Linked DNA regions of Macaca mulatta. The protein of the gene in region 1 purifies or fractionates together with the protein of each later gene. This does not show direct contact. Links are inferred from orthologs where the notes say so. Each region holds a gene or a part of one and is shown on either strand. Other genes may lie near its edges.

Evidence for each region. Proteins that work in one complex are often made in the same cells at the same time.
Region 2: the proteins of CANX (region 1) and TOR1A purify together in Homo sapiens (affinity purification with mass spectrometry; 4 studies listed by BioGRID and IntAct, counting the BioPlex papers as one, with this or other methods). This does not show direct contact. The link is inferred for Macaca mulatta from reciprocal best matches to the Homo sapiens genes CANX and TOR1A.

The regions. Positions count from the first base shown.
Region 1 is NC_133411.1:188,708,530-188,712,173, forward strand, and holds part of CANX (calnexin), read left to right. Parts: intron 1-1,117; coding exon 1,118-1,231; intron 1,232-2,502; coding exon 2,503-2,659; intron 2,660-3,644. UniProt on the Homo sapiens protein: Calcium-binding protein that interacts with newly synthesized monoglucosylated glycoproteins in the endoplasmic reticulum. It may act in assisting protein assembly and/or in the retention within the ER of unassembled protein subunits.
Region 2 is NC_133420.1:17,787,343-17,791,723, reverse strand, and holds the start of TOR1A (torsin-1A), read right to left. Parts: upstream 2,888-4,381; 5' UTR 2,839-2,887; coding exon 2,661-2,838; intron 1,686-2,660; coding exon 1,420-1,685; intron 1-1,419. UniProt on the Homo sapiens protein: Protein with chaperone functions important for the control of protein folding, processing, stability and localization as well as for the reduction of misfolded protein aggregates.

The DNA of each region.
Region 1 (3,644 bases):
TGAGACGGAGTTTCGCTCTTGTTGCCCAGGCTGGAGTGCAATGGTGCGATCTCAGCTCACTGCAACCTCTGCCTCCCAGTTTCCAGTGATTCTCCTGCCTCAGCCTCCTGAGTAGCTGGGATTACAGGCATGTGCCACCACACCTGGCTAGTTTTGTATTTTTAGTAGAGATGGGGTTTCTCCATGTTGGTCAGGCTGGTCTCAAACTCTGGACCTCAGGTGATCTGCCCACCTTGGCCTCCCAAAGTGCTGGGATTACAGGCATGAGCCACTGCACCTGACCTAATTTTTGTGTTTTTTAGTAGAGACAGGGTTTCATCATATTGTTCAGGCTGGTCTCGAACTCCTGTCCTCAGGTGATCCGCCCGCCTTGGCCTCCCAAAGTGCTGGGATTACAGGTGTGAGCCACCACACCTGGCCTTGTGTATTTTTTTACTAGAGACTGTGTTTCACCTTGTTGCCCAGGTTGGTGTGGCCTTAAGTGATGCTCCTGCCTTGGCCTCCCAAAGTGCTGAGATTACAGGCATGAGCTACTCTGCCTTGCTATAGATATATATTTTCATTTCTCTTGGGTAGATGTACCTAAAAGTGGAATTGCTGGGTCATGTGGTAACTATTTAACTTTTTGAGAAACTGCCAAACTGTTTTCAAAGTCAGCGGTACCATTTTACTTTCCCACCAGCAGTGTATGAGGGTTTCAGTTTCTCTACATTCTCTCCAACATTTGTTTTCATGAGTCTTTTTTATTATAGCCATCTTGGTACTAAGTGGTATCGTGGTTTTGATTTGCATTTCCCTGATGGCTAATGATGTTAAGCATCTTTTCATATGCTTATTATATGTTTGTATTGTATATTTATACATTCGTATGTCTTCTTTGGAGAAATGTCTATTAAAATCATTTGCCCATTTTTAAATTGGGTTGTCTTCATATTATTGAGTTGTAAAGAGTTATTTTACTAGACCCTTAGCAGACATGATTTACAAGAATTTTCTAAGAAGAATTATTTAAAATTTTGCGATTAAAACCAAAATATTTTTAGAATACTCTGTTCTGATCCACAAAGTGGTACTGTACTGTGACCAGCATTGGCATAATTTTTCTTTTATGTTTAAGGGATGAAGATGCCCCTGCTAAGATTCCAGATGAAGAGGCCACAAAACCTGAAGGCTGGTTAGATGATGAGCCCGAGTATGTACCTGATCCAGACGCAGAGAAACCTGAGGATTGGTAAGAACTTCACTTAACTTTTTTAATTATGTAGGTTGTTTTGTTTGTTTGTTTGTTTGTTTTTGTTTTTTTTTTTTTTGAGACGGAGTCTTGCTCTGTAGCCCGGGCTGGAGTGCAGTGGCCGGATCTCAGCTCACTGCAAGCTCCGCCTCCCGGGTTTAGGCCATTCTCCTGCCTCAGCCTCCGGAGTAGCTGGGACTACAGGTGCCCGCCACCTCGCCCGGCTAGTTTTTTTTTTTTTGTATTTTTAGTAGAGACGGGGTTTCACGGTGTTAGCCAGGATGGTCTCGATCTCCTGACCTCGTGATCCGCCCGTCTCGGCCTCCCAAAGTGCTGGGATTACAGGCTTGAGCCACCGCGCCCGGCCTGTTTGTTTTTTTGAGATGGAGTCTCACTCTATCTCCCAGGCTGGAGTTCAGTGGCAGTTTCAGCTCATTGCAACCTTCATCTCCTGGGTTCAAGCGATTCTCCTGTATCAGCCTTGCGAGTAGCTGGGATTACAGGTGTGTGTCACCACACCTGGGAAATTTTTGTATTTTTTGTATTTTTAGTAGAGGCGGGCTTTAACCATGTTGGCCATGCTGATCTTTTTTTTTTTTTTTTTTTTTTTTTTTTTTTTTTTTTTTTTGAGACGGAGTCTCACGCTGTTGCCCAGGCTGGAGTGCAGTGGTGCGATCTCGGCTCACTGCAAGCTCCGCCTCCTGGGTTCACGCCATTCTCCTGCCTCAGCCTTCTGAGTAGCTAGGACTACAGGCGCCCGCCACCGCGCCCGGCTAATTTTTTGTATTTTTAGTAGAGACGGGGTTTCACTGTGGTCTCGATCTCCTGACCTTGTGATCCGCCCGCCTCGGCCTCCCAAAGTGCTGGGATTACAGGCTTGAGCCACTGCGCCCGGCTGGCCATGCTGATCTTAAAAAGTCCTGACCTCAAGTGATCTGCCTGCCTTGGCCTCCCAAAGTGCTGGGATTACAGGTGTGAGCCACCACACCCAGCATAAGTTACCTGTTTTTATGGAAGTCAAACTTAATACTTAAATATAGCCAAGTTCCCCAATTTCAGGGTAGAATTTGACAATTTTAATTATATTTTCTTCTTTTTTAAAAAATATATTTTTCCTGAAAAACTGTTATTACTGGAAAAACAGAAACAGGAGAAGCTGGTCTGATACTGTGAAAACATTTCAGCAGGATCTTGGCAGCCCTGGGCCAGCCAGCTGTTCATAGTCCTGCATCATAGAACCTGTTTATAATTTGTTGTTTGTACCTCCATAGGGATGAAGACATGGATGGAGAATGGGAGGCTCCTCAGATTGCCAACCCTAAATGCGAGTCAGCCCCTGGATGTGGTGTCTGGCAGCGACCTATGATTGACAACCCCAATTATAAAGGCAAATGGAAGCCTCCTATGATCGACAATCCCAGTTACCAGGTTTGTGCCTCTTGATGTTTGAGTTGCTTTCATTGATCTGTTTGTATTCAGATAGAAGTTTTATCTAGAGTCAGGCTGCCAGGTTGGTCATTATGGTTGTTCATTATATTCAAGCAAGCTATTGAATTAAAAGCAGAAGGTAGACATCCTAAGTTGAAAGAGAGCTTATTGGGTGAGGTGTTGCAAAGATAAACCTAGAAACTGGAGTGAATAACTTTATGTAACTTTTTTTTTTTCTTTTTTTTTTCTTTTTTTTTTTTGAGACGGAGTCTCGCTCTGTCGCCCAGGCTAGAGTGCAGTGGCGTGATCTCGGCTCACTGCAAGCTCCGCCTCCCGGGTTCACGCCATTCTCCTGCCTCAGCCTCCCGAGTAGCTGGGACTATAGGCGCCCACAACCGCGCCCGGCTAATTTTTTGTATTTTTAGTAGAGACGGGGTTTCACCGTGGTCTCGATCTCCTGACCTTGTGATCCGCCCGCCTCGGCCTCCCAAAGTGCTGGGATTACAGGCGTGAGCCACCGCGCCCGGCCCTTTTCTTTTTTTTTGAGACGGAATTTCGCTCTTCTACCCAGGCTGGAGGGCAGTGGCGTGATCTCGGCTCACTGTAACCTCTGCTTTCCAGTTTCAAGCAGTTCTCTTGCCTCAGACTCCCTAGTAGCTGAGATTCCAGGCGCCTGCCACCACGCCTAGCTAATTTTTGTATTTTTAGTAGAGACGGGGTTTCACCATGTTGGCCAGGCTGGTCTCAAACTCCTGACCTCGCGATCCCCCACCTCAGCCTCCTAAAATGCTGAGATTACAGGCATGAGCCACCGTACCCGGTCAACTTCCTTTTCTTTGAGACTGAGTCTCACTCTAGCGCCCAGGCTAGAGTGCAGTGGTGCAATCTCGGCACACTGCCACCTCCACCTTGGGTTCAAGCGATTCTCCTGCCTCAGCCTCCTGAGTAGCTGGGAGCACAGGCGTGCACCACCTCACCTGGCTAA
Region 2 (4,381 bases), on another chromosome or scaffold:
TTAGCTGGGTGTGGTGGCGGGCGCCTGTAATCCCAGCTACTTGGGAGGCTGAGGCAGGAGAATCACTTGAACCCGGGAGGCAGAGTTTGCAGTGAGCCCAGATGGAGATTGTGCCATTGAACTCCAGCCTGGGCTACAAGAGTGAAACTCAGTCTCAAAAAATAAACAAATAATAACTTTTGCCCACCTTGCAGGTCTGTTACAAGGATCTAAAAGGCAACAGTTAACATTTATTTGTAACATGCACCAGGCACATGTTACACACTTGACAGACAGAGTTCCCTGGATTGTTACAAGCAACACTTTGTAAGTCAGAACCTGAGTCTCAGGTCAGGCAACTGTCCTAAGACTATGGAGCTGGGAGAGTGTTAGGACTCAAATCCAGATGTGTCTGCTGCCAAAGCCCAAGCTGCTAATCAGTGAGTTCAACCATAAAAGCTGTTTGCCGCTGGGCGAGGTGGCCCACACTTGTAATCCTAGCACTTTGGGAGGCTGAGGTGGGCAGATCACTTGAGGTCGGGAGTTCGAGACCAGTCTGGCCAATGTGGGGAAACCCCATCTCTACTAGAAATACAAAGATTAGCCGGGTGTGGTGGTGCATGCCTGTAGTCACAGCTACTCGGGAGGCTGAGGCAGGAGAATCGCTTGAACCCAGAAGGCGGAGGTTGCCGTGAGACAAGATGGCGTCACTGCACTCCAGCCTAGACAACAGAGTGAGACCCTGACTCAAAGAAAAAAAAAGGGCAGTTTGCAACAGTAGGTTCAACAAACTTAGGACTCTCTACATATGTTTTCTCTTTCACAAAATGAGTGAGATGTGACCGGGCATGGTGGCTCACACCTGTAATCCCAGCACTTTGGGAGGCTGAGCTGGGCGGATCACCTGAGGTCAGGAGTTCGAGACCAGCCTGGCCAAGTTGGCAAAACCCCATCTCTACTAAAAATATAAAAATTAGCTGGGCATGGTAGCAGGAGCCTGTTATCCCAGCTACCTGGGAGGCTAAGGCAGGAGAATTGCTTGAACTAGGAGGCAGAGGTTGCAGTGAGCTGAGATCATGCCATTGCACTCCAGCCTGGGTAGCAAGAGTGAAACTTCATCTCAAAATAAAAGAAAAAAAAAAACAAAAAACGAGTGAGATGTGTTGATCTCTAAGATGGATTAGATCATGTCCACCTCTAAAATCCCATGACCCTACAAACTCACTGGACCGATTTTCAGAACCCACCACAAAGCTTTGATGGTGTTAACTGCTCCACGCATCTCAAACTCTAACTTCTACACCTTTCCAAGGGGAACTGAGACGTGAACCGTTTTCAGGGCTCACTCATTTCAACACAGAATTTCCAAATCTCATCCCACAACGAAGAGACCCCAAACCCGACGACATCCAGGAAGGGATTCCAAACTCCCATCCTTGCCTTGTACAAGGTGATGTTTGAAGCATGTGGAAAGTGCAATGTGGCCACAAACAGGTGGACATAGTCACTGTTCAGACCACCCTCGTAAATATTCTCTGCGATGATCTTGCTGACGAAATTTTTGCCGGTGCCTGTCCACCCGTGCAGGGAGAGGGTGAGAGGTTTCTTGGGCTTCGGATTGTTTATGAAACCAAACACAGCATTTAAGATGATTTTCTTTGCAAGATGCTGTCCAAAGAGCTTGTTGTCCAGATCCTTCTGCAATGCTGGGGGAGACAAAGCCAATCAGGAGTGGGGAAGAAACAGTGACAAAAGGCAGCCACATTTACAGCCCATGAGAAAGCCAGCAAAGCCGTCTAGCTCTTCAAGCACCTTGTGAAACCTCAAGTACTGCGGTCTGTAAGCTCCTGGCCCAGAGGGGACGGTGGTCCAGGGAGCCCTCCCTTTGCTGGTCCTGCCTATTCTAAAGCCCTGGCCCGGTTCCTTCCCGAAAAGGCCCTTGGTGCGGGTGCCACTGCCACTGCCACTGCCACCAGTTTGCACCTCTAACCCCTGTGCTGCTCCTCCCACCCCAAGGCAGGGCGGGGAAAGAAAGCAGTTTGGTCCCTCCCGGTCGCCTCCGAAGAAGTCCTCACCATCCTTCCTGTCTCCCGCTAGGCTATAAAGGAAGCAGAGCCCACTTCGGAGGGAGATTACCACCGGTCCACCCCCAGCTTAGCACAAAGTAGGCCAACCTGCAGCCCGGCTCCTCAGGTCTCCAACTGAAGTCTGGCCCGTCTGTGGTGGCCAAGGGGCCAGGCCTCATCCTGCAGGGGCCGCTCGGCTTCCGGGGTCCGGCCCGCACGGACTCAGCTCTGCCCAGGCCCGACCCTCCTGGGATTTGATCCCTATCCCGGCCCGGCCCTAGTGCCATCCCCCAGCCCCAGTCCCCGCCCCGATCCCCAGCCCCCAAGCCCCGCTCCAGCCCTAGTCCTAGTCCGGCCCTAGTGCGATTCACCAGCCCCAGCCCCAGCCCGGCCCGGCCCTAGTGCCATCGCCCAGCCCCCAAGCCCCGCTCCAGCCCTAGTCCTAGTCCGGCCCCGGTGCCATCCCCCCGCCTCCATCCTCCATCCTCCATCCCCTGGTCCTAGCCCAGCCCTAGTGCCATCTCCCAGCCCCAGCCTCCAGCCTCCAGCCTCCAGCCCCCGCCCCAGCCTCCAGCCCCCGCCCCAGCCCCCGCCCCAGCCCCCGCCCCTGCCTACCCTCCCTGCTAAGGCTCCGCTTCTGCCCGCAGCACTCGGCGAAGAGGCAGTAGAGACGCGGGTAGATGTAGCCGGTGAGGACGCCGGCCAGGGCCAGTCCCAGGCTGATGGGCTCCACCGCCTGCACCACGGACGGCGCCAGCAGCAGCAGGCCCAACGCGGCCCAGCCCAGCTTCATGCCCGGACCCGCGCCACCCTGCGCGTTCTCGCGCCGACCGCGAACCAGTACCGCCGCCAGACCCGCGCTTCCGGTTCCTCCTCGCGCGGAGGCCATCTTTCTTCAGGGCAGCCCTCCTCCCGACGCCGGCGGCCGCCATCTTTGTTCGGTACAAAGCCCTGTTTTGCTTCCGGAAGGTCGGATCTGCACCGCCCCCGTCGGCCACGTGTTTTTGTTTGTTTATTTTAAAGTAATGGACGTTATTTTTGCCGGGCGTGGTGGCTCACGCCTGTAATCCCAGCCCTTTGGGAGGCTGAGGCGGGTGTATCACCTGAGGTCAGGAGTTCGAGACCAGCCTCACCAACATGGTGAAACCACGTCTTCTACTAAAAATATAAAATCAGCCAGGTGTGGTGGTAGGCACCTAGCTACTGGGGAGGCTGACGCATGAGAATCGCTTGAACCCAGGAGGCGCAGGTTGCAGTGAGCTGAGATCCCACCACTATACTCCAGCCTGGGCGACAGAGCAAGACTGTGTCCCTCCCCCCAAAAAATAATAATGGACGTTAATTTTTAGAACAGATTTACAGAAAAAATTGTAAGAGTACAGAGTTCCCATGTGCCACACCTCCCTGCAATTACCCGTTACTAAATTCTTACATTATTAGTGTATTACATTTGTTAAAATTAACGAAGCACTGTTGTTATATTAACTAAAGTGTACAGTTTATTCGGATTTCCTTCCTTTTACTTATGCCTTTTTCTGCTCCAGGTTTCCATTCAGGATACATTAATTTGTTATGTCTTAGACTCCTGTTAGTGACAGTGTCTCGGCCTTTTATTTTTATTTTTATTTTAGCTGGAGTGCAGTGGTGTGATCTCAGCTCACTGCAACCTCCGCCTCCCAGGTTCAAGTGATTCTCCTGTCTCAGCCTCCCGAGCAGCTGGGATTACAGGCATACACCACCATACCTGGCTAATTTTTGTATTTTTGGTAAAGACGGGGTTTCACCATGTTGGCCAGGATGGTCTTGATCTCCTGACCTTGTGATTCACCCACCTCAGCCTCCCAAAGTGCTGGGATTACAGGTGTGGGCCACCATGCCTGGCCTCAGCCTTTTATTTTTGATGACCTTGACAGTTTTGAGGAGTACTGCCACAATCTTTGGTAGGCTGGCCCTCTACTGGAATTTGATGTTTTTCTCAGGATTAGACTAGCGCTATGGGGTTTTGGAAGGAAGATCACAGAGGTAAAGTGCTATGCTCATCACATTCTACCAAGGAAGGGTTCTTACTGTCAACATTACCTATCACTGTTGGTGCTGACTTGATCACTTGACTGAGGTAGTATCAAGTCTCCGCACCGTACACTTATTCTTCTCCCCACCCCTCTTTTCTCTACTGTACTCTTTGGAAGGAGGTCCCCATGCACAGCCCACACATTAAGGAGTTAGGGATTTTGCTCCACCTCCTTGGGAGCAGAGTATCTGCAGAGATTATCTGGAATTCTGCATGGGAGATTTGTTTTTTCTCCCCCATGTATTCAATCATTTATATCAGTATG